Linked DNA regions of Struthio camelus. The protein of the gene in region 2 interacts with the protein of the main gene of each other region in a pairwise test. Links are inferred from orthologs where the notes say so. Each region holds a gene or a part of one and is shown on either strand. Other genes may lie near its edges.

Region 1 (7,399 bases), on a different chromosome or scaffold from region 2:
TGGAGAACTCTCCCTTCTCTCCACACTAGCTTTGTTGATGGGAACAAAAGATTGGATTGACCTAGTCTAGCAGACATGCTAAATGTGCTAGTGAAGGCACGTGTCTCATCCCCTTATGAGAACATAATCTCTCTCTGTGGTTCCTAAAATCTGCAGTGCTTTTTCACAGTTGCAAATCTTCTAGTTTTAACTTAGCCACACTGCCACATAGGGGAAGTCTTCACTGGAGATGATTGACCTTGGGCTCTTTATTTATGTATTGACCCTAGCTTGGCTCCTGAAAACATGTAAAATCTCTGACCAAAGGCTGGGGGTGCTTTCAGGCCAGACCGGTCTGAGGCTACTGGCCAAAGCCCAAAAGCTGCTTACCCTGCTGCTGGTAACCCACCCATTTTACAAAGCAGAGCCAGGCACTCCCAGTCCCCTTATGCTTTCCTATGCATGTCCTACCAGGCAGTGCTTCCTTGTTACTCATCCATCTTCTTGTTCTGCCCCAGAAGTCACCAACCAGAGGCAAGGCGAACTGTTAAAACACACTCGCATCATCTTCTGTCTGATGTCTCTCCCATGATCTCACAGCACCCGAGCAGACACATCCAGAAAAACACCCTGCCAACACACTGCCAGCAGGCTGGGCACCAAGGTGCTGCAGACTTCACAACTTTGCAGAGCTGTAACAGGGTTGCTTACGAACGTGTTCCACCTGGTGGATTAGTAATGTTGTCCACGTGTTATCCCCTTCTACATTTTTCTCCTCCCAAGCCAAGGATGCGGACATGTGAGCCTTCGTGGACCTGCCCTCACTCTTCTGGGCCTGCCCTGTTACCAGAGCTACCTTTTCTCACCCTGCACCATTAGCCCTCACCTAGCTAACCTCCTCCCCCTTTTCGTGTGTGCTGCGTAGGGCAGGTCGTAACAGCCCCCGCATCCCCATAGGAGCGCAAGCCCGGCTCCCTCCCCTTCCGCTGGCCACGTGCACTTTTGTACTTGCAATTAAACCATCTTTTATCGACCTTTTTTATGCAGGATTATGAGTCTATGACGCAGGGCTGTCTGGGCCTAGCTAGGTCTCCATGATAACCTGGGCAAACACAGGCTGACGTTCTGATTTTCAGGCAGGAAGAGTCTTAGCTTGTTCCTACTGGAAGATGTTGCCTCTCTGGAGGACGCTCCTGGTGCATCCCAAATGCATGTCCACGCCATTGCCTCTAGAGAGGTTTGGTCCTGTGTGCACTGTTCTCCTCCGTTTACAGGACTACGGCACTTTGAGAAGGGTGGAAAAACGAGCATGTGCGCCAGGCCCGGCACATTCAGCAGCATTTTCACAAGCGCATGGGTTGATCTGCCCATTCCAAACCAATTAGCAACATGTGGCCATGGAAACATGCAGCTGGACGGGACCCTGAGACGTCATGGCATCCATCCCTCTCCCTGAGGCAGAAGCAACTCTACCTACAGCATTCCTGAGCGGTGTTTGTCTAACCTGTTCTTAAAACCTCCATGGGGGAGATTCCAGAGCCTCCCTCAGCTCGCCCAGTACTATTGTATCCTACCACCATGACATTTTTCTAGTGGTTGATCTAAATCTACTTTCCCATGCTGTACAGCTAGCAAGGAAGTGACCTCCGTCATGCAGAAATCCTGGGCCACTGCTGGTTACACCAGGCCTGCAGAATGGCGCAGCGGCAGCACTTGGTGCTTGTGGCCCTGCTTCAAAGCAGCCGATGAGCGCAAGGGAATTCCACGGCTATGACAGTCGGCATCAGCTGCCTCCACACGTCTGCTGGCAGCCTGTGCCATCGCTTCAGCCAGGCGCTCCCCCGTCTTTGCAAAGCAACAAGCCCCAGCCAAAACACCTCCCAGTTCTGCAAGGAAAGTTGTGTTCATGCCAGCAACTGGAGTAAGTCATTCATTTGGCCTGGATCCATGTTTTGTGCCTACTGGAGACCAGTGACAGAAATGCAGAGCATCCAAAACTCAGAGTGACTCACTTAACTGAGTCCAGGGGCTAAGACAACATCCGTGCAAAAAGCAAAGACGATTCTTCCCACAATGCACTTTGAAAGGTCGCACGTGGCAGCAAAGCCCCTGAAGAAACGCAGGGGAACTGCACAAGCAAGAGCTGGAGCGTGACTTTGCAGAGCGGACGTTCGACCCAGACCTGAGGTTCGACCTGAGGTGCCAATCGCCTCTACAGGGTCTGCGCACCTATCGTCGTTTTCCATACCGTATTCTTGCAGCTTCAGGGGGGATATAATATGGTCATAACTTCCTGCTCTAAGAAGTCTTTTTTTTCTCTTCTGTTTCTTAATAGAAAAAATTGGTTGCTGTGTTCCATTCCACCGATCAGATGACGTAATCTCTGCATTCATCTGACTATCAGTTTATAAAATGTGCAGAGTGCTGCGAGCTGCTAGGCATGTAAGAGGCCTCCATCTTCACAGGGACTAGTACTACAAGCTTTAAAGAAAGCTGTAAAATCCTGATAGCGGATATTAGTATAATGACAGAAATTGTATTATTTGTAGTACAATGACATCCTCGAGGAAGAGGCTTCTAGTAGGCGGCAGTTGGTAAGGTGATGTCCTGAAATTAAAACAGATGATACACATTTTACCCTAACGAGAATAAACTATGATTACTCTAATATGAAAATCTAGTCAATTTTTGACCCACCAGATCTTTGGCAGAGAGTGCATGACACATACACAACATCCTTAATGAAGGGGTATTACTGAAGATATTTTGCTTTCCAAGCTGCAGATCTGGGAAATCACTCATCCCTATACTTTAATGATTCCCTCATAAACCGCTGGCAGGACATGGTAGGAGTGTTTTATTGCTCTGCAAGGGCAACATGCAGGTGTCTCCCCCAAGTCCTCGCGGACTCTGGGATGAACACAGGTCTGCCACGGCACCTTGTGATTTGTGTGCTCGCCGCCTTTGGCGATCCAAAGGTTTCTGCCAACTTTCCTGGTGTCCCTGGGATGAACACAGGTCTGCCACGGCACCTTGTGATTTGTGTGCTCGCCGCCTTTGGCGATCCAAAGGTTTCTGCCAACTTTCCTGGTGTCCCTGGGATGAACACAGGTCTGCCACAGCGCCTTGTGATTTGTGTGCTCGCCACTTTCGGCGATCCAAAGGTTTCTGCCGACTTTCCTGGTGTCCCTGTAGCCGTTCTTGCTGCATCTTCCATGCCATCCCTTAAGCGTGGGAAAAACGTCTTAAATTTGATCACTTTAGTCCATCAGATTCCTTTTTGTAGACTCCGGTCTACAGAAGACGCATTTATACCCGTTTTTATTATTTCCCTCCTCTCCTTTTCTCTTTTAAACCTTCCTCCTTTACGTTTGAGGTCCTATTGAAATCACAAGCTGCTTGGGGACCGGGACAGCCGTTGACCGTGGACATCTTCCAGCAGAACAAGGCCCTGATCCTCAGAGATGTCTCTGAGCTCCAATACCAGACAGCATTACCGTTCGCGTAACCGAAACCCTGATGGGAAGGACCACGGCTGAGTTCAGCTGCTTCGAGCCGGCGGCCCTCGCCGGGTTACTTTGACCTTTTTTTTGGCCCAAATTAGGTCAGCAATCTGGCTTTCCCGTACCACCTCAAAACAGTGCAGGGCAGGTGGCAAACGGAGGTGGGAAAGCGCGACCCAGCCGCGGGCAGCGGGACGAAACGTATTTTAGGCGTTGCAGCCTCAAAAAGGGCCGTCAGAGCGAAGGCGGCTGGAGGCGCGAGGGCCCTGTCCGGCCGGTCTCTGCCGCGGGTCCCCCGCCTCGCTGCGGGGGGACCCTGCTGGGTCCCTTCGCTGGCCTGGCCACGGCCCACCGCTGCCTCCTCAGCGCTCGCCCCGCTGCCCAAACCCCCTTCGCACCTCCACAGTGGGATGGTGCTGAGGGGGAGCCAGGGGTGGGCCGCGACCTCCCCAAGATGGCCCCCCCCGCGGCTCATCCCAACCCACGCGGCGAGAGAAGCCGCGACCTCCCCAACATGGCGCCAACCGCTCCCCACTCCGGCCGCGCGACAGCAGCAGCAGCGGCGGCGGCTCTGCCCTCCCGCACATGGCGCCTCTGGCCCTTCTCATTATGGCGGCGGCGCCGGGCTATGACGCCATACGTCCTCCTCCTCCTCCTCCTCCTCCTCCCCCCCCCTCTCCCCTCTCCCTCCCTCCTTCCCTCCCTCCCCCCCCCCCCGGCCTCCTCCCGCCGCCGCCGCCGCCGCCGGTCCCCGCCTCTCCCGCTCGCCATTGCGGCGGCTCAGGGCGAGCCGCGCCGCGTCCCCGCTCGGCTCCCTCCCCGGCCGCCGCTCTGGCAGAGGCTCCACGGCGCAGGCCCGCTGCAGCGCAGCCGCTCTGAGGTGAGTGTCCTACCGCGCAATCTCCCAGCTCCTCCAGCCCCGGCGCAGCCGCAGCAACGCGGGGGCCCCCGCCGGCCGCCCAGGCACCCCCGGCTGCCGAGCCCGCGCCGCCCCGCCCGCCGCCGCGCCTAGGCCGCGCTAGGCCCCGCCGAGGGGCAGCGGAGGCCTGAGGCGGGCGGCGGGGCCGCTGCCGCCCGGTCGGTGGCGGCCGCTGGTCGCGGCGGTGTGAGGCGGAAGCCGCCGGGGCCCGGGCCGGAGCCGGGGCCGGAGCCGAACGGGCCGCGCCGGTTCTTGCGGCAGGTTCCCGCTTGGAAGGAGGCGGCGGGGAGGGGGCAGTTTGGAGTCATTTGGGCGGCTTTTGTTTTTTGGGGAGGGGGGGGTTGGTCTTGTCTCTTTTCTTTTTATTTTTTAATTTGCTTGGTTCCCTCCTGCCGGTTGGATGCGCGGTGGCTCGGCTCGGCGCTGCCCTTTTGTGCGAGGGGGGGATGAGGGTGCTGCTGGCCTGAATTTTGTCAGTCCGCGCGTGTTTTTTTTTTTTTCTCTTATTCCTTTTTTTTTTTTTACCCCCCTCTGTAATATATCCCCCCCCCCCAAAAAAAAAAAAAGGGTGGAATAAGTCCTGTCTCTTTGTTCTTTGGTGATATACAACGTTTGCCTCGGAGGAGACGCGGCTTCGGGACTGAGGCGGTCGGGACCTCGCTGGGGTAAATAACGATTTCGGGACGGGGACGTTCAGCACGCTCGTCTTCGCCCGTGCGGGGCTGGCTACCAGCTCTGAGCTTTCCGGCGGCTACCGACGGTTTTCGTAAGGCGAGGAGATGTCCGCGCCGCTCTGAGCCTCGCATCTCGGTTTCCTCTCTCCGTTGGAGCCACCAGTTTCCAGATTTGGGTTTTTTTTCTTTCTTTCTTTCTTTCTTTTTCTAAACCACCCCAGGAAGGACGTCGCGGTTCTGGTTGGTGTCGCTGGTGCGTCCGCCGTGCTGCTGTCCAGCCGGAGTTGCGGCCCGCCTGTCCCCAGCGTCGTGGCGCCTGTGCGCGGCCCGTGTTTTTTCCGAGTTTCTTTTGTGGCGCCGCGGCAGCTCGCCCTCGTCCTCACGCCAGCGAGCGCCCTAGCTGGCCTCCTGCGCCGTCGGCTTCGCGGTGGCTCGTCTTTTAAGACTGTTGTATTGGGTTTTTGTTTTTTCTCCCTAGTTAGGTCCTAACCCTGGGAAAATAGAAAGTGGTTGTCTTTTTTCAAATTTAGGAGATCTCTCTGATGAAATTGGGAGCAACAATTTTTTTTTTTTTTTTTCCTCCCCGTTTGTGGAGGGAGCGGAAGTCGCGTGAGGAAGATGTTAACTCAGGAAAGGTCGGGATTATGTTAACTCTTCCTTCGGGGTTTTAACGCTGGCCATCGCAGCTAAGCGTCGTAACGTAGTCTTTAATTATAACGATCTCGTATGCTCGTGTAATTTGGTACATGTGTTTACTATTTTGTAGAGGCTCTGTTTTTTTAATCACGGTTGCTTCTCGGCGGCCTCACGTCACTTATGTACCGGCTTCACCGCGAACGAGGCACGGGCCGTTACGCCTGCGCCGTACACGCAGCGAGCTGAGGGACCCTCTGCCTTACCCACGGCCCGTTTTACGCAGTTCATGCGACTCCGTGTACGGAAAGAGCGTCTGCGTCTTACGAAGCGTGTGGCCCGATGCACGTTTACGGTATACGGGTGGACCGAAGCGTGGCTCTTGTAAAACGTTGTTCGTTGGCGGTCTGGATGTAGCTAGCGTTCAGACGCGCGCGGGCAGTGTAATTTTTGGCTTGGAGCAGTGAAAACACTGGCTTTCGGTCGACTCCAAAAAACTTTCTGTGGGCCGCGTTAACTCGCCGCTGCGTTTCCCCTTCGCGCCTCTCGTGCTGCCCTTAGAGGTAACGTGGCCCCGGCGCGCGCCGGGGAAGGACTGCTTTAGTAGTTCTGGCGGTTTGGGCTGTGGACGTGGGCTGTGCCATCCAAACCGTGGTGTTTGCCAGAACAGCGCATCCTGACGTCAATAAGCTCTCCTGGCCAAAGCCATCTACGCCGCCAGAGCCCGTGGCGTGCGCTGCGTCGGTCAGAGGCTGTCCTTCTGCGTAGCTCGGTCAGGAAAACGCGTGATGTGATGCTGCTCGTGGAAGGATGAAGCGTCGGCGAGTGAAGGCCGCTGCTTTGGGATAAGACTGGCTGCACAGGAGTTTTCTTATTGCACTTCGGTTGTTTCGACTTTCCTGGACGGCAGCTCTATAACTAGTCAGCCGCGCAGATGTCAACTTTTGGACTTCAGGTATTTTGGCTCGAGGACTATTTAAGTGTTGGAATTTTATAATTTTTCTGTTGCGCAGAAGTCTGAATCATCTTTCCTTAGGCTTAAAACAGCCAGTTCCACTTTTGGCTGAGCTCAAGCCTGGAAGATTTCAGCCTCCTAAGTGAAAATAACAAAGAACCACAAATGACAGCAGGAGCTCAGGATGGGAGCGCTGGGGCAGCCTTCGTTGCAAAGCTTGCTTCTAGGCTACGTTTCTGTCAAACTTGTGCTGCCATGTGCGTGTTCGTACTGTGGGAACATTTCCATCACTGCTTCCACCCGCTCTTCGTTCTCCAGCGGAGGGAGATTTCCAGGCAGCCTCTCGGTCTGTTGAAGGATTTGGGAATTTTTACCTTATGCTCCTGTTATCCAGCAAGGGGATTGGAAAAGTATCTTCTGGGACAGAAGCTGAGATGCAGTGGCTCTGTAATGCCCCTGTATCCCTTTTACAAGAAAATTTAACATAGACTTCTGTACGTAAGAGCACTGCGTGCTGTCAGTAGGAATCAGGTAGTGTTGGTCATTTTTCAATGCGAGAAGCACTGTGAAATTTAGCCTTGGACCTTTTCTTTCTTGCTAGTTTTTCTAAAGTAGATCCCTAAGGGGGGGGGGGAAGTAATTAACCTTTTTTATATTGCTGATTACTCAGTGATTGAGTTACTCAATAAAATAATTTTAAAATGTGCTCTTTGGTCTTTCTAAGTACCTCACTCTA
Region 2 (8,288 bases):
CAGTTAAGGGTTTCAAATTTACTACAGAAAGCCTGAAAAAAAAGCATTAAGAAACCATCTGATATTCTTGCAGTAGTAAAATACTTTGTCAGACCACTCACCTGCAACACTGGTAATGGTAACTGGAACTCCTTGAACTTGAACTCCTGCAGCACCCAGGTTGGCGACACTTACTGTTTGGAGATTAGGTACTGAAGCAAGCTGGGCAGCGTTCAGTGTGATTGGCGTACCAGCAACAGCTACTGGTGCAATCTGAGCAATAGCTGTGCCACCACTTGAAGATACAGGGGTAATGGTTAGTTGCTGGGGTAACCCAGCATTTTGAACTTGAAGATTGGAAAGGCTTTGTAGATTCTGAACCTGTACAGTTTGCCAGCTGATTTGCCCTGATGGTGTTAAAGTTGGAGCCCTAATGAGCACCTGAGTTGGACTCACTGCCTGCAGCTGAACATTCTGCAAAGGCTGCTGCTGGATGGTCTGTAGAGTTTGCCCTGACTGGAGCTGAAATGACTGTGGAGGAATGGCCTGAATAATCTGCTGTTGAGGCTGCTGGATCTGTATTTGCTGCAGAATGGGCTGACCTACAATTTGGACCTGCTGAAGGGAACCTGACTGATCCTGAACGTTCTGTAGTCCATTCGACTGGAGCTGACTGGAACTCTGGGCTTCAGAGTCTGTAGCAGTTGTTTGAGGTTCTTCAGTTGTCTGCTCTGAACTGCTACCTGTTGTGCTTGTGTACTGGCCTGTTTCTGCAGAGCTTACTAAAGTGTCACCGCTAGTTAGAGATGTTGAGGCAGTAGTCGTAGAAGTGGAAGATGAGGAAGGAGATTCTGGCATTGTACTAACGGAGGCAGTGGTGACAGGTGTAGATGCTAGCTGACTTCCATTGGAAACTCCACTCTCAGTAGACTGGCCAACTTGTCCAGAACCTCCTCCTGCTGCGACATTGTTTATCACAGGCAATGCTAGGGTTACTCCACCAATGTTTATAGGTAAAGTTGTTACAACCTGTGCTTGAGTACCAGGAATAGTTTGCAGCTGCAATGGTATGGAAACACCAGGCCTAATTTGGACTGGAACTGTCTGATTTCCTAGGTTTTGAGCAATAATATTCCCCGAAGCTGTCCTGTTTGCAGCTGTGAGGATAGCTTGATTATTCCCCGCAGGAATAAGCTGAATTTGACCCTGTATATCTTGTACAGCAGTAGCATTAGCAGGATTGATTTGAACTTGTTGACCTTCTGTTGTCTGAATCTGTGGGATCACTTGGTACTGGACACTGCCACTTGGATTTTGTACTTGAATGACTTGAAATTGTCCAGGGTTTGTTGCAGAAGAATTCCCCGATTTGGTTTTTGAAGGAGATGAACTTCCATTGTTACTGCTGGAGGGACTAGCTGCGCTCGAGGCAACAGAGGATCCTTGTTGAGCAACATTATTCTCTTTTGAAGCAGAAGGAGCAGCAGCAACAAGCTGCCAAGTGTTTCCAGCAAGCTGAGTTGTTACTAATTCTAACTGTTGTGGCTGATTTTGAAGCTGCACCAAACCTTGATTTGGATCTATAATAATCTGCTGTTGTCCAGTTGCTTGATTCTCACCAGGAGTTCCTATTTTGCTGCAAGTGGCTGCTAGCAAAGCCAGAGGTGAAGGCTGAGAATCCTATCCATAAAGGAAAAACGGAGCAGATTCAGAAGAGCATGAACACAAACCATCAGAAATAACTATTCAAATTTACACAGGAAGTGGGGGGGGGGGGGGAAGAGTGTTTCTACATACGGAGACCAATCACACAGCTCTGAATGAGGAAGTACATGTTCCTGTAAATAATTTTTAAACATAAGGCCACCAGTTATCAATGAATATGTGACAGCCAGGACCATTTCTTCCTCCCTCCAATCTTCCCCCTCCCCCCAGAGGAATTAAAAAGTGAATAAAAAAGAGCATCTGTAATATATGGAAAGCAGCTGATCACTCTAAAATGCAAACAAAAAACATGTCCAGGCAGTAAAGATATTTCACTCAATCAACTATATTTCATCCAACCCAAAGAAAGATGCCCTAAGCAGGAAATACTATTAGCTGAACATTTCATTTTAAATGATAATAATTTGGGTACTTCCCTATTTGGGTGTGTGTGCTTTACCTGTGAGCCTCCAGTTTTCCCTTTTTTATTATTATTGCTGCTATTTTCTGCCTCGGGAGATTTCTCTCCCTCTGTGGGCATAGTTTCCTCCTTCTTTTGATCTGCAAAAATATCAAGTGTAACAGGTTAATTATTCACCTTCATTTATACAATAACAAAACCTATGCGCATATCATTTTTGGTTCCCTGCTTCTCGCCTTTACCTCTTCATGAAAACAACAGTGCAAAGCATTATTACAAAAGAACGAGTCCTAAGAAACGTGGTTTGAAACCCAACCCATGGGGGCTGGAGAGTTAACACCCAGAAAGGGGAGGTTTGGTTTCCTCTCCCAGAGACAGCAGGAAAAAACCACCCACAACCCTCCTCCTCCTCCTGCCCCCTAAAGCATCGACGGCCACTGAGTGGCCGTCGATGCTTTAGGGGGCAGGAGGAGGGTTGAGCAGGGGAGGGAAAGAGGGAGGAAAAGAGGAATGAAGGAGGGAGGGATGTGCACAGGAGGGAGGGATAGCGAAGAAAAGGGGAATGGAGGAGGGAGGAACGGAGGAGGCAAGTCAGAGGGGCACACAGCGGAGGAAGAGAAGAAAGGGGGTATGAGAGGAAGAAGAACAGAGGGGTGGAGGGCAATAAAAGAAGAGTGAAGAAGGGCGGGGTAGCAAGGGGGAGAATGAGGGAAGAAAAGGGGGAACCCGGGAGGGCGGGATAGAGGGGGGATGAAGGGTGGAGGGAGGAGCGGAGGGAGGGAGGGGTGTGCACAGGAGGGAGAGAGGGAGGGGGTTACATACCGCTCATCCCGCATTAATGCCCCGCTGAGGCGCCGCTCTAGGGGGGAGGAGAAGGAGGAGGAGGAGGCGGAGGGTGGGGTGGGGGTAGCGGGGAGAAGGCCGGTCGCAGCCGGAGCTGGGAGGAGCGGGACGGCCTATTTTTCCACGAATGGCCGCCGCTGGGCTGTGGCGTAGCTGCCTGTCTCTCCGCCCGCCGCCGCCGCCGGCCTCAGCCCGCCGCCTTGAGTGACAGCTCCGAGCCGGCCGGCCGGGCGGCGAGGGGCAGGGAGAGCGGCGGAGGGGGCGGGGCGCGGCGGGGCCCAACTGACGCCCACTGAGCAGGAAACCGAGCCCAGCCGCCAGCCTCTCGGCAGCCCCTCTCCGCCTCAGCCCGGCTCCCCACGCCGGAGGCAGAGGAGGCGGGTCAGGGGCGGGACGCAGCGCCCGGCGGGCCCGGCCCCAGCAGGGCCGAAGAAGGGTGGTCGCCGCTGCCGTCTTCCTCCTCCTCCTCCTCCTCCTCTTCTTCTCCTCCTTGTCGCCCGCGCCTCGCGCCGGGCGGGAGGGGGCGTGGCTACGGAGGCGCGCGCGCGCGGCGGGGGCGGGGGCAGCGGCTGCCCTGAGCGCGGGCGGCCGGGGCTCCCCCGCGCTCGTGCCGCTCTTGACAGCCCGCGGGGCGGGGCGGGCCCCGGCCGAGCCGTAGCCTTTAGGCTCCCCGCGGCCCGCGGCGGCGGGTCGGGCGCTGATTGACAGCGCGCGGGCGCGCGCGAGCAGCGAATCCGGCGAGGGGGCGGGCGGGCGCGCGCGGGGCGCTGGCCAACCCGGCGGCACCTGCCCGCCTCGCGCGCTCGTAACTGACAGCGCGCGGGAAGCCGCGCCACAGCTTCCCCTCGGGCGCCCCCCTCCTTTCTTCCTCCCCCCACCCCCCGCCCGTTACCCGGCTCGCGCTCTCCTTCCCCATCCCGCACGGTTAGGGAGGGGGAGGAAGGACCCCAGCGGTTTCCATGGAAGCCGAGGCCCACTCCCCCCCTCCCCACCATTCGTTCTGCTATTCATTTGTAGCAGCCTTGCTAGTGGGCTTTCTGTGCCCCGTGAGCCCGGCTTAGAGGGACCCCTGGGAAGGAGGGGGAAGGGCAGCCAGGGATCCAGGGACTTCTTTCACACCTGCTGGGGATATTTCCCGCAGCCAGGGGCGAGGAGGCGGGAACGTGTGTTCTCCCGCTCCATTGGCCTGGCTGAGGCGCGGGGCACGCCGGGACGTGTAGTTCTGGGCTCAGGTTGCGGCGCGGGCTCGGGGGCGCGTAGAGTGGCGGTTGCGCATGCGCAGAGAGGAAGGCGGGCGTTTGCGGGGGGGGGGGGGGGGGACGGGCGTTCTACTAGCCAGGTGCCGTTACGGTGCCTCTGCCAGCCGTTGGCCTGGGCGGGGCGGTTGGGGCTAGGGGGAGAGAGGGGCTCTAGGTCAATAAGCTCAACTGAAAGCTTCACCTAAATGTTACTTCAGATTCGCAAAGCTGTAGGTGGTGCTCAGAAGCCTGTGGTGGGCCAGCTTGGACATCATGACATGAAAAACAGATAAATTATCGTTGTGCTTGTTGTTTCTTTTCTAAGTTTTTCTCCAGTTCCCTTACACTCTGTTCCTTGTGTGTGTCTGTGTGCATGCGTGTGAGTCAGTGGTGTTGCCCACTCTCCCTGACTTACTCAGAAAGATAACTGGGTAAGTTAAAAGGCATCGTACATGGAGGTGTGATGGGAAGACATGTAGATTTGCAAGAACTGGGAACATGATTAAGCCTGTTAACCCAATTTGAATTTGGAAGAAATATGACAGTAGCAGTATAGATGTGCTGCTTGGCAGGTTTAATTTTTTTATAATACATACCAAATTTTGTCAATCAAACAATACAAAGCACCCATTCACCACAAATTAATGACAAAAGTGTGGGACAAATAATTTCTTCACCAGATGTCCAACAGCTTTGTCCTTCGAAAGGCTGAGGAAGCTCTTAATCTCCATGTCAGGCCTTCAGCACATCCTCTGGAATAAAGGAAATGTAGAAATACCAAGTATGTCCTGCATACAGTAAGAAAATGATCAGAAAGACAAGTGGTGCAGGCTGTTATTAGGCGTTGTACGCACTCTGGATACACATGTCACAAGCAGATGCATCAGGAAATGGCCTTACAAATGCTGAGTAAATTATATTTAGAAAAGCAAACAGTAATATGCCATAGCTTATAGCTCAGCCAAAACTTGACACCTTTTCATAGGCAGTGTCAGAGCAGGCAGAGTGGGGGCTGTTCCGGGAGGGAGACACAGTTGGGGTGATCTCAGCACCAGCAGAGCAGTGCCCTTGCGGGCAGGGCGCAGTCCCACTACGTCTCCACAGGTCCAGGGTGGTGACAGTGACAGGATCTGTCCACTATCCAGTGGTCCTCAGCCCAGGTGAGGTGATGAATCAGGCTTAGCGTCACCTCGGCAAGTCCAGTTGGCAAGCCAGAAGGGCAGGAGACGGGGATGGGCCTGGCTGCGAGGTCGTTGTGGTGCAGGTCTGGGGCCCAGCGCCGAGCTCCGGGGGAGCTTCTAGGCCCAGGAGCAGCGAGGGTAGGTCTTAAGTGAGGTGGGTCAGGGCAACCCCAGCCTGCAGGTGCAATGTACAAAGCACCTCCGGAAGGAGGCGGTGCATAAAGAACGGGCAAATGTATTAGCAAGGCTGCTCCTTTTCAGTGAGAGGTGTTATACAAAAGATTTACATACAAAAGTCATACAAAAGATTTAAACTTTCACGGGATTCCAATCTACATCTGTAGGTACAGAACTTTTGAAAAACTGGCCCTAGGGTGCAAACAGTAAAAGCTTTCTCTCAACTCAGTATGTGATTGAAGAGACAGATAAAAGATGGTGGTGGTGTAGGTGGTTTCAGTAGGGGCATCATGATTTTTATATATTTTTACCATCCACAGTTACTCTCCTATACCACCTACTCTTTCCCAAATTCCAAATGTCAGTCTTCTTCAAATTCTTTCCACCAACTGGTACTCAAGCTTTCTGAGCATGCTTCTTTCAGCTTAGTTCCCACATGAACCAGTGCTTACCTTGTGCACCCTCATACTAGTTGGTCTTTGTGAGCTCTCATGAAAGTCAGCTGTGGATTTAAACAGAACTAAGATTAGGCCTGATAAAATGTATCAATTGACACAGGAGTTCCACATGCTATTGGGAGAGATGAAAGAAAAGTATCAGAAACAGGAAAAAATAAAATGAAAAAGTTTTCATCACAAATTTCTTTTGTGCTTAGAACTTCAAAAACATGTTGACATTGTGAGACAGACCACAGTACGGAAGTGCCTCATTGAGCGGAGGCCCACTTAAATGCAAGGTTCCTGGCAAGACTTAGTTCGGGCATAGTATCCCTAGTTTGCACTAGGGCCCAAACTAATAAAATCCACATAGTGCTGAGTCTCGATTCCTTTTCATTTCTCTTATTGTGTATATATATGTTTTTAGTGTCATCACTAAGGGTTTAGTTCCTTCCTTTTAATTTTTTTAATTATCCCTTCTCTGTGTCAAATGTGGAATTTTCTGTCTCTCTTGCTTAGCTATTCTTCTAAGTTTTGTTTCTGGAATTCTAATCTTTTGATGCCACTCCTTAGTAACTTGCTTTCATTTTCTCTATTTCTAACTTTTTTCTCTGTGGAGTTACATCCCTGGATCTTGCTTTTCCCATTTTTTTTTACATGCTGCTGTCTTTCGTGGTTCTTATCCCCACTGTTTTCTCCACCTCAGAAATATTCTTCTACCTAAGTTTCCTACTTCTCTTTTGTATTTCTTGTTTTTGCTCCAGAATTATCTTGTATCTTCTTTTACATCACTTTTAGCTTGCCCTCTAAGCCTTATCGTATGCCTTATTCTTCATAACACACTGACTTAGATTTTTGTGTGTTTAGGCATTGCTCTGCTGAGCACTGCGAGGTTTGTAATGCTGACTAGAGTAATACCTAAATATCTTTACAAAGAAAAAAAAGAGAGGGGCGTGAAGGGGGAGGGAGAGACAGCTGGCTGCATGCTCCAGTTTCATTGGTTAACCTCTCTACTATCTCTCAGCATTTACATAGGTTGCATTTGGACAGAGAGAGCCAAGAGGCAGCAGCTGTAAACAGCAGAGGCTGTGGCTTCACAAAACTGTAAATGTGGTTGTAGAGTAGCTAGTATGAGACTAAAAATGCTTCAGCCCTTAGACAAAAAATACTGAAGTGGTATAAAATCACTCTGACCAAAGGTGGTGCTTGTGCGAATATATAAATAAATAAGAGAGTAGTTTTAGTTTGGCAGGATTATGCAAGACCAGGTATCAGATATCCACATTTCTGAAAGAACCTTTTTTGGCCAGCCCAAAGGCTCTTTTGCTAATTCTTCATGTCCCCTTTCTGTTCGTAGTGCTCCTTTGTTTTGGAACTCAAAAGCTTACAGGAAATCACTTTCATGGTTTAGTGCATATTTTCCCCCTTTTATCTGGGCCCTTGCTGGACTCCAGTGTTTTGTTGTAAACTATCTTGGCTCCAATAACACCAGCTTTGAAGATTTTGGCGATGGCATAATGTTACTGATCAGACAGAGCCTGGACCAGAGCCACAGTGGAAATTGTGTACTTGGCAAGCAGGCTCCCTAGACATTGTTCCACATGATCCCAAGTGGACCAAGTCAGAGGTACTTAACCTGTTTGGATTCCGTGGAAAAGATCTGTGGAGAACATGCTGTGGAAAACATCCATGGAAAACACCATGGGAACAAACAGAACGAATTCTGTAGCGCCATCTCTGTGTGAATGCGTCAAGCTGGGGGACCTCAAACAGAACTGGGGTCAAGAATCCTAACTCCAGAAAGACCAAAGGCAAAAATGAATGCTATGACCCTGAGGCAGTTGAGAAAGCGTATCCAAGAAAAGTCTGCCAGCACTTCTTAGTCAGATGGTAGTTTTCATAACCTTGCTTACTGATAATTTTCCAAATGCAGCATGCTGCCAGAGCACTTGTATAGTGGGAATACATTTTGAGTTTGCACATGACTACTGTTAACCTTGCCTATGTGCTCAGCAGCACAATCTTATACTAGTCATTACCTCATCAAATAAGGGCTGAACTTACACAAACCTCCCATGACTGCTGTGCTCCCTGAAGATCTTCATTTCACTGCTGAACCACCCGTTTTTGTAGAACTCATCTCACAGAGCCAGACACATCATTGAAAGGGATCCTATCTTTGTCATCAGTCACAGTATCTCACTATGCAGAAGGTAGCACCTGGTGTAACTGCAACTTTGCTGTCTCATTTTAAGTGGCCCACTGCGTGCAGGAAACACCACCTCTAGTACAGGAAGTCTGCATGAAT
Region 3 (8,065 bases), on a different chromosome or scaffold from region 2:
CAACACAGGCACACAAATGTCCGTTTGAGAGGAATATTTCAGCATGTAAATAACTGAATTCAGGGTCACAAGCCCCAATTCAGCCATATGACTACACAAGGCCACTTATCCAGTAATCTATTCCATAAAAATTACTAAAATGTCAGTGAGAATGAAATTTTGTTTGCAAGATGCAATGTACATTTTTATCATGCTGGATAAAACATCTAGAGTCTCAGCAGTGGTTAAATTGCTGCTATAAAGGAAATTGTCCTCAGATAAATGGTTTCCCTATGAGAAGGTTTCAGTGCTACACCTCACCCCAGGTCAATAAATCAAATTAACTGCACCTTGTCCTCTGGCCAATGACATCATCGGCTTGACCACATCTTGTGAAGCGAGTGCAAAAACATATGCTGTTTAAGGCATGAAATCATATTACTGCTTTTTGTCCAGCCAGCCTTGTGCTGCTGGTCTGTGAAACAGTCAGTCACCTGAACAGTCTCATTACTCTCTTCTACAGATCTTTTCTTATAGTATTCAAGGCCTGTCTTCACCAAGGGTGAAGAAAAAGGAAAAATAATCTGAGTTGTTATTTTTGAAATCAAAATGCTTTTCATTAGCTACAATCTAGTGTTTTGTAACAAATTAAATTTAGAACCAAACTACAAAATATGTTGGCTGCACATGTATATGAACTCTCTACCTAGTCATGCTTCAAAGACGTTTACATGCTAATCTGGCACAGCCACTTTAAAAGTACCCTGCTGTCAGGTCCTTTTTCTCCACAGGGTGGAAACAATGGTCATTAATGAAAAAATCTAGTTTTATCTGAAGGCCATACCTGCATAAATGAATTTTAAAAAATTACTGCCTCTTGCTAAAAAAGTAGTTCATCTGTTTTCTAAGTAGCCTAATATCTACTTTAGAACAGAATTACTCCAGACAATTTAAGAGGATTAATTTCAATTTTCACTTGATGAACTTATGACACAAACACACACACACACAAAAAAAAAAAAAAACTTATCTTGCTTTCTAGACCCTGTACTGCCTAGTAGCATCTTCTGTCATGGAAGCCAAATCTAAATAAAAAAAAAAAACTCAGAATGGTCAAAGATACAAGCAGTGACAAAAGCATCTGACACACAGCACTGTTAAACTGCATCCACACTAAGCAAAAAGGAGAATAAGATTATCTTCAATGTATTCAATTCTGTTTGTGTCCACAGGAAGGAGGAAAGCTGTTTAGATTTTGAGTGTGTCTTCTATAGCTCTCTCAGTGCCAGGAAACGTAAATTAGAAGCAACTCTCCTTTAAGGAAAAGAATCAAGGACAAAGGGACCAAAAATGCCCAAGCCTCTGAAGAGCAGATATGAAAGGAACAGCTTTACAGTCCTGAGTTGCTATAAATTAAAAATAAGCTTCTTATTTAAAAGACATGAGTGTTTGAGAATCTATGAGCAGATCTGATGCTGCTCAAGCCCCAGGAGGGTTTTGTTTTTGCTGGCAGGGGTGGAGTGGGGATGGGGGGGTCATTTTGGTTATTAGTAAATAAATCAAGCGGCAGAGTGAGGCCTAGGCGCCTGCCAGAGGAACCAGGGCCTAGCTCTCCCCCCTCCTCTCCTCACACAGCCTGGGTTTGATCTCGGGGCCCTGTGGGTTGCCAAGAAAATTTAAAAAAAGCAAGAGAGCGAGAAAGAAGAATCATATTGAACCACAAAAGCACATGGGGCGAATGTAAAATATAAACACGGCGTTGGGCTCTGAGTGGCTGTTATTAAAGGTCTGAATTACTAAACATGAGAGGCGGGGAAAGCCAGGCGGCCATTTCAATAATATAAACCTCCCCGAATTAGACATTATTCAAATGAGAAAGAGAAGGAGAGATAGAGAGAGAGAGGGAGAGAGGCAGAAAGAAGCAGGACCCGCACCCCCGTGCCGGCCGGCCGGCCGGCTCTCCCGGCACCCCGGCCGCGGCGCCCGCAGCCCCCGAGAGTCTGAAGGGGCAGAAGGGCAAATACTGGGTGGGCACATCGCGCCCGCCCCACTGCAAACAGCCTGCCTCTCGCCTCGGAGAGGGGGCCACGGAGAAACTCCGCCACCCCGCCAAGAGGAGCCACCCCACGTTGAACCCTACCCTTGGCGGGGGGGGGAGGGGAGGAGAGGAGAGGGGGGAAGCTTTAAATAACATCCAAACCCAGCTCTCTCTCGCCCTACCCCCTCCTTGAGGCCATCCGCACCCATCCACCCCACGCCTGCAGGCCTCAGGCTCTGGGGAAATAACCTCAGCTGGGGGGAAGGGGGGGGGAAACCCTAGCCTTTCCCCCTCACCCCCAAGCCAGGCGCGCACTTCCATCCCTTTCCTCCACGCTGCCCCAGCGGCGGATCCTGCCCCGCTCGGGGGCAGCGGCAGGCGGCCGCCGCCGCCGGCCTTCCCCCCCCCCCCCCCATCCCAAACCCCGCAGCGCGGCCGCCCCAGTCTCTCCCCCCCCCCCCCCCATGAATATGTAAAGCGGCTTTTATTGTGGGCGTGCGGGCCGGCGGTTGGGGTGGGGGGGGGGGAGTCCGGTTGGCCGCCGCCGCCGCCCGCTTTCTGGTGCGGGGCTGCCCGCTGCCCCCTCCTCCCCCCTGCTGCTGCCGCCGCTCTCTCTCTCTCCCTCCCCGCGCCGTCACCTCACCCCCCCCCCCCGACCCCACCGCCTCGGCGCTGCCGTTGCCGCCGCCGCCGCCCGCGCCGCCGCCCCCCAACGGCCCCGCCGCCTGCCCCGGCGCCGGTGCCCGGCCGGGCGGGCGCGAGTGCGAGGGAGGGAGCGTGTGTGAGTATGTGTGTGCCGCTGTGTGTGCGTGTGTGTGTGTGTGTGTCTGTGTGTGTGTGTCTGTGTGCGCGCGTGTGTGTGTGTCTCCCCGCACGGGGAAACTGCTTTCCTTCTTCCCCCCCCCTCCCTCCTTGCTCCCTCCTGTGCCGTTAATTATAATAATCCTGAGTACTAATAAATTATGCTAAGCGGGGCGGGCGGGCGGCGGGGGGGCCGCGTGTGCGAGTATGAATATGAATATGTAAAATGCAGTAATGATTACCTGCCGCTGCCGCCACCGCCGCCGCCGAACTCTCATCTTGACTCGCTGCTCCTCCGTCCGCCATTTTGAATATTTTAACCAAAATCGGCCGCCCGATAAACCCTCCCTCGCTCCCTCCTCCCCTCCCCCTCCCCTCCCCCCGCCGCCGCTCACCCCCCTCCCCCCCGCGCCCCTACCGCGCAGCCGCCAACTCGCCGCGCCGCTGCCTCGCTCTGCGCCTGCGCGCGCCCCTCTCTTCCCCCTCTTTTCTCCTCCTCCTCCTCTCCCGCCCGCCCCAGCCGCTTTCCCGACAGCCGCCGCGCATGCGCCTACCTCGCTCGCCCCCCCCCCCCGGCCCAGCTTCGCGCGCCACCGCGCAGGCGCTGGATTCCCTTCCCTTCACCTTTGGCCCAGGCCTCGTTAACGTGTAAACCGCCGCGCCGCGCGCACCAGCGCTTCAGCCCCCCCCCCCCGCCTCCCCGCGCTTGGGGGGGGGGGGGGAAGGGAAGGGAAGGGGGACACGGCGCCTGCGCACTGGGGCTGGCGGGGGCCGGGCGGGCGGCGAATGGCGCAGAGCGGGGGAGAGGGCGTCGCGGCGCCGCCGGCCGGGGGCACAGCGCGGGCGCCAGGCAGGAGCCGCCCTCCGCAACGGGGAACAACTCCCACCCTGCCTCATCCGTTTTTTATTAACTGTTCGGCCACCGGGCCTTTCGGGAGCCGCACAAACAGTTAATCACGGTAGATAAAAGAGGAGCGGCTGGACGCAAACACGTTCAAATATAAGCGTGAGGCTGCTGGAAACGGCATTTCAAGAAGAGCTGTTCTGGGGAAACACCCGTCATAACTGTTATCTGCCAGACAGGTAGTTCCCCGAGCTGCAAGCAAAATTAATCCCCTGTGAATAAAAAGGAATCGAATACAAAGAAATGAAATAACAGGACCCTCAGTGCTGTGCCGAGGAGGGGTGCGTCAGCCGTGGTCCGTGGTCTGTTACTCCTTCAGAGAAGAGCCATGACAAGGAGATGAGTCTCCTCTTCAGAAGCCCTCCCTGACGCATCCCTAGTCCTGGGCAGCGCAAAGCTCCTGCGGTGTCTTTCTCAAACGAGTATTTTCTCCTCTTCCACGCTCTGCATCAAATTTGACTAACCCAAAAGGAAAGGGGAGTCAGGCTTTGTGCTTCCCCCCAACACACACCTTAAAAGAGTGTACAGCAAACACTAAGAGAGCAGAGGGACCCACAAATAAAATCAGCTTTAGGTTCAAAACTTCCAAATCAGCACAAGCAATAAGCTAAATAGGCTAAAGAAACAAAGTGTTGCTTATACTTGACAAATTAGGCAGAGCAATAATAAAACATGCTAATATTTTTAAGCGTTAGATTGCATAAATATATATTATTCCTGAGCTTGGTAATGTACATTTGTATAATGATAAAAAAAAAAAAGGGAATAGAAGATATAGGATAGTTTTCATTAAGAACTTAGTCTACCGTTTTCCAAGACTCATTAACTCCAATGCGTCAGAGTCCAAGCCAGACTTTCTTGAGGGGCTTAAAACCTTGTGAAATCAGAGAAGTGGCAAGAATCCACCGTTGCTTGCTTTGCTGGAGAAAATTATGACTTGTATCAGAGGCAGTCGCTAGAAGAGCCAAAAAGGAAAGGCTGAGGGAGGGAGACAGCAGGGTTTCTCTGTGCAGGCTCAATCAGAAAGGTAATTTGCACATTTTTATTTAAAAATAATTTTCTCTGATAATGGAGGATTCTTCCATATCATAAAATAACCTCCCAATACTGCAGAAAACACCAGTGGAAATGGACTGTGCTATGAAACAGCAGAGACCTTTCCCTAACACTGTAATTCTATACTTACACATTCATTTGATGATACTCCATGCCAGTAATTAAGCACTTTGTCTTTCAGAAGATCTATTTTTAAACTCACAGAAGTGAAAATGTAAACAACAGCATATTGTCATGCTGCTCTTCTGTTCAGGCGTGATCCTCGCAGGCCAGTTAATCCAGTTTTATGGCCAGGTTATACCAGCCCTGCTGCACGCAGTGGCTGCACCACGACAGATAAAGGTGTAGAGAAAGGGCTAGCTAGATTAAGACTCTGCACAGCTCTAATCCTGCCGACGCTGAATATTCTCCCCCGTATCTTCCCATCTCACCCTTAGACTCGTCTCACTCCTGCAGGCTACTTCCTAGGAACCTCCTCCCTGATAGCAGCCTCTTCTCAGGGAGAATTTGCTCCCACTCGCACACCTGATTTAGTCCTTGCTCTCACTCAGCTTCTGCCCAGTTAGCTGCACCCCACAGCTGCCAAAGAATAGCTCTCTGCAAACCCATGTGTTACCATTTTTTCTGGTAACCAGTAGTTACTAACGGATGCTGTGTTTCTAATGGACTGGCTATAAAGAGGAGAACTCCATCCCATTTCGGCACGTATCTGCTCCCCTCCCTTTTTAAAGATTGCTCTAGATCTACATCTGCATCCTCTTCTCTAGTTTAGTTTGAACATATCTCTGTCTGATGCCTTCCCCAAGGTGTCATACATCCCCATGGCTATATATCCAGGAAAGCCAGCCAAATCATTTGCGATGAATAATTTATCAGATAAATTTTACCTCTACTTCAGTTGTGAATTGTCTGCAAACAGCTTGTGATTTCTACAAACTTCTTCTGGCATCTTATTCATGAGGAGCTTGTTGGGAATATTTGAAATTTGAGCTAATTGGACACAAAAATGATACAAAGCTTAACGTAAGAGAAGCCGAGCACTCTAGCCTCATTTCACAAAAATATTTAGGTTGTAGCTCTGAGGAGTTATTCACCTGCAGACAATGAGGCTGTTCTCATACTTGCAGTTAAGAACATGCTTACGTGCTTTGCTAAAACAGAGCCAAAGCAGTGAGCCCCTTGCAGGACATTGTGTGTTTTTGTTCTCTGAACGGACTTGTCTACCTCGCAGAATCATTTTTCTCAGGGATTTTGCTTTAAAAATATTTTCTGGCACCAAAAAACAGCAGTGTTCAAAATGAACACAACTGTAAAGGGTACAAATTTATTTTGAAATCTTTTAAAGCTCAGCAATATGTCTGTGTCTGTTTTTTTTTTTTTGGTTTTTGTTTTGTTTTGTTTTTTTCAGATATCTCCTAGTTCCTAGCTCCTGCAGAGATCCTTTGTTGTGCTCTACTTTTTGTGCCTATAATACATTTTCTATGTTGGTTACATTGCCTCCTGAATTTTCTCTCCTGCTAGAATTAATTCAGTAGTGTGTTAGAGACAAGGATATTTTTTAAGGTGGGGAGGCAGGGGACAAATGAAATACAAATCACATTATTTTGCAAAAAGCAGATTGGGAAGGAAATTAGCCCTTTCATCACCCAGCTCTATTGTACAGAGATACTAAGAACAAACTATCTGCTCTGTTCCAGTTCCAGTGTGCCACTCACATTTGCATCCCTGATACCGCTTTTTTCACACAATGTCTCTACTATTATATTTTCTTCACATCAGGTTTCTCTCCATCTCAAGGAGGTCCTGTTTCTAGCATCATGTTTGCTTCAGCTTTCCCTTTCCTTTGCTGATCAGATACTTTCTTCATACTGCAATGGAGACTTCTGCTTCAGAGCAGTCTGCCTCTGTTCCTTTCACCTCTAGACTGCTTAGATTGTCTCACCTGCAGTTACATTCTTCTTTTTCTCTCTGGCTGTTTACTATTTTTCGCATGTAATATAAACCCTTACAGAGAGACCAACTGAGGTTACAGTCTCATTTTTTTAGACGCTACAGATACAAATAGCAAAGGACAGTCCATGTCTCAAAAAGCCTGCAATTTCGAGAGATGGCCGACAAAGACTGAGGGAAAGATAGGATTAGGAGCTCCCTGGTCGAGAAGGGGAAGTGACGAAAAGCAATATAAAGATCATGCACAGTTCCTCCAGGGTCACAGTGGAAACATGAGTGGACCTCAGCCTAGGTGTGCTGAGGCTGTGCAGTTCAGCACTTTAACCACAAAGCTCTCTCTCCTTCCTCCCCTTTGTTGTTTTCTTTTTCGCCTCCTGTTCCTGAGCACAGTAAGACAGTCTGTTCCCACCCTCAGCTTGGAACCTCATTCCAGTAATACGTTGTCTCCCCTGGTCACAGCTCCTTCCTATGAACACTGGGACTGCTGCATGCAAACAGCAGTAAGGGAATGAAGACTGCCAGTTGCATATATACATTGTTATTTTTCCCTGCACAATCTTCTGACTTCTTTCAACCAAACTGCTTTCTAGTTCTGTCTATCCCTCTTTTGTTGCCTCTAGACTGGAGAAAGGATAACCCAGCATCTCTTATTTCTGAGAGTTCTGGCTTGATCCCCTGAATCTCCCAGCTAATGAAACTGTAGCAGAAAAGTTGTACCATCTCATAATACTCTACCTCTCCCAGAAGCTAGCTAACTGCTCTTCTGGAGATGGAGCAAAAAGAAAAAGAAACATGGTTTTCATTTTCATATTAAAAAAAAAAACACTGTAATTCAGAACCTTCACACATCCTCTTGGAAGGGAGAGGTAATCACTAAGAGCACACTTATCTTTTCAGGTGGGTTTTTCAATCTACTCCTCACTCTCTGCTACTTACACTGCACTTAGTTTTACCAGCTCTATTTTTTATACGCGTTTCAATGGTTGTCATCAATGCGGCATCTGAGCACCTTCCAATTTTAATCAATTATGTCCTACAAATCACCGACTCAGAAGATTCAGGATATATCACTGCACTTTTTCATGAATGGCAAACCAAGGCAGAGAAATTAAGTAATTTGTCTTCTGTTACATGTGCACCTGGGCAGCCCAAGAAGAGGAGCTCCTGGTTGTCTCTATTGTGCCTTGACTGAAAGACCCTGTTTGGCATGTTATCAATTCTCTCCCTGAGATCTGCAGGGATGGCTCCATCTCTACCTGTCTCTCTACTCAGAAAGGGCCAACAACCCCACAACTTGATTCAGATCTCTTGGAGAGCAGGTTTTGCAATTGCCTGAT

Evidence for each region. The genes of interacting proteins can lie anywhere in the genome.
Region 1: the proteins of SP4 (region 2) and NRF1 interact in binary tests that used the Homo sapiens proteins (3 or more experiments, as listed by UniProt). The two-hybrid records come from large-scale screens. The link is inferred for Struthio camelus from reciprocal best matches to the Homo sapiens genes SP4 and NRF1.
Region 3: the proteins of SP4 (region 2) and POU2F1 interact in binary tests that used the Homo sapiens proteins (3 or more experiments, as listed by UniProt). The two-hybrid records come from large-scale screens. The link is inferred for Struthio camelus from reciprocal best matches to the Homo sapiens genes SP4 and POU2F1.

Annotation. Positions count from the first base shown.
Region 1 is NC_090942.1:1,752,856-1,760,254, forward strand, and holds the start of NRF1 (nuclear respiratory factor 1), read left to right. Parts: upstream 1-4,204; 5' UTR 4,205-4,362; intron 4,363-4,718; exon of another isoform or gene 4,719-7,399. UniProt on the Homo sapiens protein: Transcription factor that activates the expression of the EIF2S1 (EIF2-alpha) gene. Links the transcriptional modulation of key metabolic genes to cellular growth and development.
Region 2 is NC_090943.1:36,661,350-36,669,637, reverse strand, and holds the start of SP4 (transcription factor Sp4), read right to left. Parts: upstream 3,459-8,288; 5' UTR 2,934-3,458; coding exon 2,927-2,933; intron 2,531-2,926; exon of another isoform or gene 2,347-2,530; intron 2,245-2,346; coding exon 2,144-2,244; intron 1,660-2,143; coding exon 102-1,659; intron 1-101. UniProt on the Homo sapiens protein: Binds to GT and GC boxes promoters elements. Probable transcriptional activator.
Region 3 is NC_090942.1:105,798,244-105,806,308, forward strand, and holds the start of POU2F1 (POU domain, class 2, transcription factor 1), read right to left. Parts: upstream 3,196-8,065; 5' UTR 3,125-3,195; coding exon 3,061-3,124; intron 1-3,060. UniProt on the Homo sapiens protein: Transcription factor that binds to the octamer motif (5'-ATTTGCAT-3') and activates the promoters of the genes for some small nuclear RNAs (snRNA) and of genes such as those for histone H2B and immunoglobulins.